2 linked regions of the Arabidopsis thaliana genome follow. The protein of the gene in region 2 interacts with the protein of the main gene of each other region in a pairwise test. Each region holds a gene or a part of one and is shown on either strand. Other genes may lie near its edges.

The links.
Region 1: the proteins of AT4G02840 (region 2) and smB interact in a two-hybrid assay, tested with the Arabidopsis thaliana proteins (2 studies listed by BioGRID, with this or other methods).

Annotation. Positions count from the first base shown.
Region 1 is NC_003075.7:11,021,454-11,026,057, forward strand, and holds smB (small nuclear ribonucleoprotein associated protein B), read right to left. Parts: upstream 2,399-4,604; 5' UTR 2,164-2,398; coding exon 1,390-2,163; 3' UTR 1,386-1,389; exon of another isoform or gene 1,282-1,385; 3' UTR 583-1,281; downstream 1-582. Other genes in the region: AT4G20450 (Leucine-rich repeat protein kinase family protein), read right to left, coding at 2,601-3,009, 3,096-3,285, 3,390-3,455, 3,537-3,663, 3,758-3,957, 4,031-4,287, 4,374-4,445, 4,547-4,604.
Region 2 is NC_003075.7:1,262,604-1,267,235, reverse strand, and holds AT4G02840 (Small nuclear ribonucleoprotein family protein), read right to left. Parts: upstream 2,610-4,632; 5' UTR 2,511-2,609; coding exon 2,497-2,510; intron 2,373-2,496; coding exon 2,296-2,372; intron 2,103-2,295; coding exon 2,073-2,102; intron 1,335-2,072; coding exon 1,143-1,334; intron 1,051-1,142; coding exon 983-1,050; 3' UTR 777-982; downstream 1-776. Other genes in the region: AT4G02850 (phenazine biosynthesis PhzC/PhzF family protein), read left to right, coding at 1-63, 141-302, 421-504, 594-701; AT4G02830 (uncharacterized protein), read right to left, coding at 3,304-3,425, 3,554-3,643, 4,199-4,355, 4,507-4,596. UniProt on the Arabidopsis thaliana protein: Involved in splicing regulation.

The sequences.
Region 1 (4,604 bases), 9.8 Mb from region 2:
AAGAGGCAATGAAAAGGACGAGCACAGTGTTATTGAAAAACCAGAGTTTTGCAAAATTTAGCTGTTGGAACTTGTCGTCGGGTCCCATTTCTATCCTCTTTATAGTTTTTTTACTTAATTCAGTTCCACAGTTTTGCACTGAAATTTTAAAAGAAAACAATGTAACAATAACAAGTATTCGATTTTTCTTGATTTTAAGCATGTATATAAACCTTATCAATAAGAAATAGTCTGATACTAAATGAAAACTCCAATCCGTAATAATGAGTATCATACCGAATCTCCGATTAAGAAATAAACAAGTAACGACTATATATTAACCTTTAAAGTTGTCGCAGCCTTGTAATATTCTTTTGATCTTTTAAAATTATAAAGCTGAGATTTAGCAATGGTGGGGTTAACGTGAAGCATCATTAGGAGTGTTAATGGGTCACACTCACACCTATGTTTTTGACTTTTTTTTATTACCTTTCGTACTTTTGTTTTGTTTTCTATCTTTAACCTTCAACGGCACAATTCTTACACAGCCAAACAATCGCAGTGTGCAGTGTAAGTCAACACCATTTGTATACGTTCTCACTTGTCAAATCTTGGTTAGTGACCAAGCCTTATTGAATAATTGAAAGTTCTGAAAAATAATTCACTATAAACAAGTATTACTTACCATTCAACTAACCACACTAATTCACAATTTCATTTCATCAAAATTAACATATGTAAGAATGTGAAACCCAACCAAACTGAACCAACAGAATTTTGGTTAGATTTGAACTATATCCAAAATTGCAAGGTAATGTGACTTGTTAATCTTTTTATAGATCGACGAGTTCTTCATCACAAATAGCTGAATGTATCCACGATTCATCACAACATCCATAGCTCCCTAAACAAGGTTTTGACTTCTACCTAAACAATCCATAAACAAGGACAAGAGAGGTGATCAATAGTAGAACCGATTTAGCCCTTGTTCGAGTAAGATTCAGATGTGATCACTAGCTTAGTTTCTAGCTTTCTAAGATGTTATTAAGTTCCTCGAAATGGCGCAAGAAAGTTGCTGTTTCAACCTCAAAAGAGTTAGCAATGTAAAACGATCCTCAAGATAGATGTTTACCTTAAGAAGACATAACAAAGTTTAATGGATTCGTTCTTAAAAGAAAACACAAGAAGATAAGGCAAAGACAACTCACTCGTCAACAAATCTACAAACTTTGAAAGCTAAGATAGATGAGAAATTGCGGCTAAAGTCAATGAAAGGCAACATGATAGCACGATACCGTAAACCTGAGGAAGTTCAATCAAACATCTTAAAGCCTTCATAATCTCAAGAAAACAGCGACAAAAACAGTAAAAAGCCGAGACAAGAGTCCTGTTCATTCACTGCTAACCTAATCACTGCTGCTGATTATGTGGTGGCATGCCAGGACGCGGTGGAGCAAAACCACCAGGAGCAGGAGGCATTCCAGGGCGAGGCGGAGGAGGTCCTTGCATTCCATGAGGTGGAGGAGGAGGTCCTCTCATCATACCACCAGGAGGAGGAATCATTGGCCTTTGCCCATACTGAGGCGGTGGTGGTCCAGAAAACTGCTGTGGCGGTGGCCTCATACCATAAGGCGGTGGAGGACCTCTTCCCATAGGAGGACCTTGACCACCAAAAGGAGGCGGTGGCAACATCTGTCCCGGAGGTCGAATAATCGGAGGAGCTGAAAGCTGTGGTGGACGAGAGATCTGAGGCTGCATCATTCCCGGAGCAGGTCCACCAACACCACGAACAGGACCAGATAAACCAGGCTGAGCTTGAACTAACGGACCAGTAGGAACTCCACGCCCAGCGGCACGGCCAATTCCTGGACCAGCAACAGCAGCTGCAGAGCCAGCTTTAGCACGAGATTCTTCAGGAGGAGGTGGTCCTTCGACAGTCATTGAGATAACTTCTTCACCTCTAAGCAACACTAAACCTAGCGTACGGCGATCTTCACGCTCTTCGTTGATCTTCTTCCCTTTAGCTGGTGGAAGCTTACGAAACTCCTCGCAATCGCCGAGAACGAGGTTCATGTGACGGTCAAACGCCATGAACTTCCCAACGAGCTGTCTTCCGTCTTGGATCGTCACTCGCATCCTGTAGTTGATGAACTGAAGCATCTTTGAACTCTTCGACATCGACATTCTCGCCGATTGAATAGTAACACTCGCTACAAGCAGAGATTCGGCGGCGAAACCGAGTATGCCGGAGGATCGAAATCGAGCTTAGGGTTTCAAAAAACTAAATCGAGAGGCCAAAATTGGGGGGGTTTGGCTGTGCAAATCGGGAAGTGGGAAATTTCTAGGGTTTATAAATGAATACACTCTTGTTTATGGGCTTACTTTCATTATGGGCCCAAACATATTGGACTTGGGCTGCAATTAGTTGAATAGGCTACAATATTTGTTAGTTTGAGGCTCCAAGTTTCACTAAGCTTATTTTATGGAGCAAATCAGCAAATGTCAAAGTTTAATCGGGAACAAATGTGTAAAGTTCAACAAGATTAAAACAAATCTGATACATTGAATAAGGAAATATTTTGTTATTCAAAACACACGTGTATTCCTGAACTTGGCATGAACTAGCGTGCATCAGGGATATGTTCAGGACCAAAGCTTGTGCTCTGTTCAAGAGAACTCTTGGAGTCCACGTCATGTCTCCCTCCTTTCCTTGAGTTCTCAGTTAAGAGACACTCTTGTAGTTCATTAGCAACCTGGGACATATTTGGTCTTCCGGATGAAGATGGACTGACGCATGACATTGCTAACTCAAGAGCCTTCCACAATGAACTAGAGTCATAATCACCGTTCATACTTGGATCCACAATATTTTTGATATCTCCATTGGTTAACTTAAATCCCACCCATTCTCCTATGTGAGACTTCTCACGAGTTTGGTCAATCACTGGCTGACTTGTGATGATTTCCAGTAATACGACTCCAAAACTGAAGACATCACTCTTCTCTGTCAACCAGTTTGTTCGGTAATATCTATAATACGAATGAATAAAAAATTTACCAGATGGAAAGAGAAAGACACAACTTAAGTTCATTAAGTATTGTTATAGACCACTTACTCAGGGTCAAGATAACCTGGAGATCCAGCAACATTTGTTGACACATGAGTTTCACTTCCCACCGGAAAAGATCTTGAAAGCCCGAAATCACCAAGTTTGGCCTGGAAATTATTATCAAGAAGTATATTCATAGATTTGATATCTCTATGAATCATTGGTGGTTTGCAGCCGATATGCAAGTACTCCAGTCCTATATAATACAACTCATAAAAGGTTTATTTCAAAACTCACCAAGAGAAGTGAACATCTCAAAAAATTTGCAATGTTATCTTTTTCTCAAAACTTCAAACGAACCTTGTGCTGTCTCTGCAGCAATTCTTAGCCTATTTTCCCAACTCAAAGGGGACCTAGAATTTTCTCCTGTACTCATAAAGATGTGTGTATGTTATAAGATGACACACGATCATTGTGTTTAGAAACAAATTAGGTAATCAAGGTTACCAGATAGATGTTGTTTTAAGTTTCCATTGGACATGTACTCGTAGATGAGGACCAAGTGTTGTCCTTCGTCACAATAACCAACAAGAGTTACTAAATTTATGTGGTGTACTCTGAGAAGAAGGTCTACCTAGCAAACCACAAGTAACCCAAAAGTTGGTAAATCATATATATACATTTTATTTGAGTATATGAATAATTAAACTTAATGATAGTGAAGGTACCTCAGCTTTAAATTGCTTATATCCTTGAGCTGAGGATTCAGAGAGCACCTTTACAGCCACTTGTTCGTTATCATTTACATTACCGTGGTACACGACTCCAAATCCTCCTTCGCCAAGAGGTCTCTCAAAATTGTTTGTAATTACCGCAACCTCTTCATAAGTATAGCTTCTCTTGTTCGCCACCATTGATGAGCGTGAAGCTATTATATACCATACATTATATACTTAAGTACAAATTTGAAGTTAATGAGTTTTAATTAGTCCTGAGCTTACCTTTGGATGGCTTCTTCTTTCTAAGTAAGAGAATGTTGACGAGAAGAAGCACAGCTATAATAATTCCCACAGAAGCAGCTGATGCAAGAATAGGTACTAGCAATTTCTTTTTGTTATTCCCAGGACCAGTTTCACTTTCGCATGATGGATCCAAACAGAGGTTATTTCCATTATACAGCAACGTTATTAGCCCATTCTTTTCCATGTTGAGAAGGCTTTGAGGAATTGAGCCGCTAAGATTGTTCCCACTCAAGTTTCTGTGCAATGTATATAAAACGTTATTAGATGCATCCATTTAAAGATTTAAAACCAAACTATTCGTTTTACTTCTAGGGGAACTTACATGAATGTCAACAACTTCATTTTGGCGAGAAATTCAGGCACCTTTCCCGTCAAGTTGTTATTTGACAGGTCCCTATAACATAAATAAATCATGATTGTCAAACAAAGATATCAAAATAGTCAAATAGATGTTCCCTCTATAATTATATAGGGAGATATGTATATGAGACTTACAATTTCTGTAGCTGGTTAAGATATTGTATATCACTTGTTATGGTCCCATTTAATCCAA
Region 2 (4,632 bases):
GATAGACTCATCTTTAAACCCTTGATAGGAGCTTTCAAAACAACTTCAACAGACCAAATCATCGTATGTATTTCAGATTTCCTTAGAAAGAAAACTTGTGAACTTTCTATTTTTTGCTTATTTATATGATTTGATTACAGGTTGTGCTTTCATCTTGGGAATCTGTCATTGAATTTCAGCCAAGAGTGGATGATATCGTGAAATGCCCTGGCAAAGTGATGATTGTTACCGCTGCTGCTCCTCAAGGATCTCCTTTTGACTTCTGCAGTCGACTCTTTGCTCCTAAACTAGGGCTCAATGAGGTTAAGAAACTAACCTGCAACTTCGTGCATGGGAGCAATTCTCTGCTTTTTACTTGTGGTAGCCGTTACCAAAAGTGTTTACCGTTACCTTATTTGCTTGGTGCTTTTGTTCCTTCAGGACTCTGTATGTGGAAGTGCACATTGTTCATTAGCACATTACTGGAGCCTCAAGATGAACAAGTGTGATTTCGTCGCTTTTGCGGTAATTCATCTTTCTCTGTAACTAGCTAACTAACATTTCGAAGCAAGAAATAATCACACATATTAACGAATCAACGAATTTCTTTTCAGGCTTCGCAAAGAAGTGGAACACTCAAGGTTCATTATGATAAGGAGAAGCAGAGAGTCTTGCTTACCGGGAAAGCTGTGACTGTCATGAAAGGCTCTATCTTAGTTTAATCTTTCGACTCTTTGCCAAAGTCTTGAAAAATAAGGTCAAGATTTTGATTTCTCGAACTCCCCACGTTTTATCAGACTATGTAATAAAGTGATCAAGTCAATAATAAAACATATTGAGTGATGTATGTTTGGCAATAACGTTTCAAATCTCAAATTCATGAAAACTTAAAGAGATAACAAGAATTTGTCTTAGTGACACCAAATCTCACTACAAGATAGATCTTTTACAATCCTGCTGTTACAAACCAAAAAGGACCAGACTTTTGATTACTGCAAAATGCTTAACGACCACCACGGCCACGTCCACGACCTCTTCCACGACCACGTCCCCGACCTGCTGGAATCTTACCTGATACCAAAGAGAACAATAGAAAGATGAGTCTAAGCAAAAACAAAAACAAAAACAAAGGCATAGTTCAGAAAAAAGAAATGTTTTGTTACCTGCAGTTGGCTTTTTGGGTTTGATTCTTGGAGTGTCTTCAACCAGCAAAGTCTCCAGATTCAAACTGTCCGGAAGAATATAATAGCGAATGTTGTTTCCCCTGACACTTAAGTGGTCTAATGTAACTGGATTCTTCCCTTTCAGAGTGAGTTTCACAGCTTTTAAATGAGTGTTCATGCTAACATCTACACCTGCATTAAGTCATCACAAGTAGATAGTACCAGTCAGTGAGTTGATTGATAATTGCATTCTAAACAAGATGATGGCAGAAAAAGGAAACCAAACCAAACATTAACAGCAGAGACCACTTGTATTAGATCAATCAGACTAAAAGAGAAGTTGAAACAAGAAGCCACACGGTAACTGTTCTGTGAAAAATCAGAGATTTTCTTTACAAGGAAAGAGATAAGAGTGACTTTCATGTGCTAAATCTAATCATCTGCATCTGACTCGACAAGTATCACTCAGTTCTTGCTAACAAGAGGGTTACCAACAAAGCATTTCGAGGTAAAAAAATAATTAAGACTCAGCTAAACTCTAACTTCTTCAGATACTATCACTAATAACAGAATTAAGCCTCAGGATTTGTTAACAAGAGAGGTCCACAATGATAAAGAGGGAAACTAAAGTAAACTATCTCATATATAATCATGTGCTAAACTCACTCCCAGAAGAACTAAGCATTCTCATACACCCAACTATAAAGCAAAATAAAATGTATCATCTCCATCTGACTAGACCACCATTATCATTCACTTATTGCAAACAAGAGAGATTCAACACCCACAATGCATTTCTAGGTCTATTAACAGAATTACACATCAGAATTAGTAAATTCGAGAGCTCCATTGGTTACAACCATCAAAGGAGAAAGTAAACTACCTCATGGGTGATCAAAGTTTGAAGAAGAACTAAACTATCTCATAAACCTCGATTCAAGTAAAATCTAGTGTACTCATCTGCATCTGACTTGACCAGTGTCACTAGGGTTAATACCAACAAAGCATTATTAGGGGAAAGACACTAGCTAAACTCAAACTACACCATCAGAATTTGTGAATACGCGAGTAACCATCGATTACAGGTAAGCATCGTAGATTTTACACAAAACCCTAAACAGCGAATAGAGCTGGGTTTTTAAGAGAAGCGTACCAGTAATGGTTCCATGAACAATGGTTCCGTTCTTAAGCTCGATTGAAACTGTTTCGTTGTTCAATTTCATCAAAAACCTGCGAAAAAATCCAGATACGAAATCAAACATCGAAGAGCATGAAAACAAAGAGAAATCTCAAAATTTCGAAGCAAATTCCAATTAAACCGAAGAAATAAAGAGAATCCGAGTAGAAACCATACCTGACGAGCTTCATGGTGAGAGAATGAAGAAGAAGAGGAGAAAATTAGGGCTTTGAGGAGAGCTCGAAACAGCAATGGCAAGAAGCAAGAGCGGGAGGAGGAAAAGCAGCAATAGGGGAATTTATGTTTAAGTCCCCAATTATGGATTCTGCTTCACACCGACGGTCTCTTACTTCCTTGAATGTTTGGTTATACCCTATTTGTTTTGAACTTATCAATAACACCCTTCTCAACTTTTTATTGAACAAAAACAACCCCAAATGAAAGAAACAGAATAATTAACTCAAATAATCTGATTTGCGGAATCTAATCACTCACTTTAGAAATTTATCTTTTATCAATCACATTTTGTTTAGTTTTGAAAAAAAACTGTTTAAAACTTTTGTTTAGTCAAAATTAACAATACAATGATAAAAAATTTCATCATTAGCTAGCTAAATAGTAAAAAAACAAAAGGTTTTAGTATTCTTGATTCGGCCTTTTAGCCCAATAGTAACGTTGGTGTTCGAATCCAGTCATTCATCTTGGTATTGTTGATCCAATTTTTCCTAAATCCATTAATAATTGTGACAACTAAATTATGCAAATTTTTCAACTGAAAATAGGGGATATTACATTATGAATGGAATATACAGAGTCTCTTATTTGGATTTTTATTACTAATCCAATGGTGACGAAGCATACAACACAAGAATCTTTTCTTTTCTTATCAACACAAGAATCTTTTCTTTTCTTTTGTAACATCAACACAAGAATCTTTCATTTTATTTTATTTGATTCTACTTTTCCATACTAATGGTTGGGTCATCAATAAATCCATTCCTCGGGGAGAAGTTTCTCCGGCGAATCAATAGGATTTTCTGCTTCAATCTTGATAGGTGTTGTTGCCAACATTTCGCTCTTCTTCTTCGAATCATTTTCTCTAATTTCTACATTCAAAAGAAACAATGTTACCAATTTCAACCAAAATATATCTATAGTTCAAACTAATTTGTAATATATAACACAATGTATTTGAATAACGGTCGATGAGAACAAATAATGGTTGGAAAAGAACCTGGACGAGGAGAAATATGGATACCGTTGTTGTGAATGTTAAGATTGAGTGCTTGAACTACACGAGTCGGGAGAAGCACCGGTGAGCAAGCTATGACAAGAGAATTTTGTTTTCATCAATCAAAATTGTATAACATTAAATCATATATTAATGAGTCTATATAGTAAAGGCTGACTAACGTAAAAACCAACAAATCACAATTTCTTTATGTCAATTGTCCTACAAAAGCTACGAAATAGATAGAAAAAAATGGTAATAGATGTATGAATCCATGATATATTTCGTAGTAATCGAAGAATTGAGGTTTTTGTGTTTATATATGTTTAAAACAAAAAACGACAAAAAAAATCATCAAAAATTTTCAAATTCTTCTAAATTTTGTCTAGCTCTAAATCTTCAATCTCAAGAAGCAGTGGTTGTAAAAAAGTTATTTTTCTTTTGAATATAATTTGAACATTATTTTCAAAAAAAAAAAAACGACTTAACGACAAAATGTAAGTTAAAAATCATGTCAAATCAACTTTAACCTGAAACTAAAAGAATTTTAGTATATGCAGTTGGTAGAATTGATTTTATGAAATTGAAAACATTATGCACCTTTATTTGTGTTCATAAATACTTAGTATAGAGTAATTAATAAATAACCTGTTTTTTTGGTGGGTGGATGAGAAGCCGTGGCTGGAAGAAAAACTCCGGTGCCAGAAGTTGTACGGCCCGGTGTAACCAAGAAAAATGCTTGCATACGATCCTCTCCTTTACTCCTTTGCCAATTGCTTTGGTGCTTTTGTCTTGTATTATAGTTCTTCAACACACAAAAATATATATACAAAATATTTGAGCTTTAGTTTGAAAATATATAAGATATGTTTAAATACATACGTTAATGTCCATAATGATATTTCCTCCAATACCGTTAAGAGATTGTAACCAAAAAAAAGATTGAAAAGAAATACCAAAGGAAATGTTTGTCTAAGAGGAGGTGCCCCGGGCCGACGAAATTCACCGTTGCCGTGGTGATGGTGGTTCTTGACATATTTCTGCAACTATGTGAGAATTTAATTAACAACGACTTCGATATA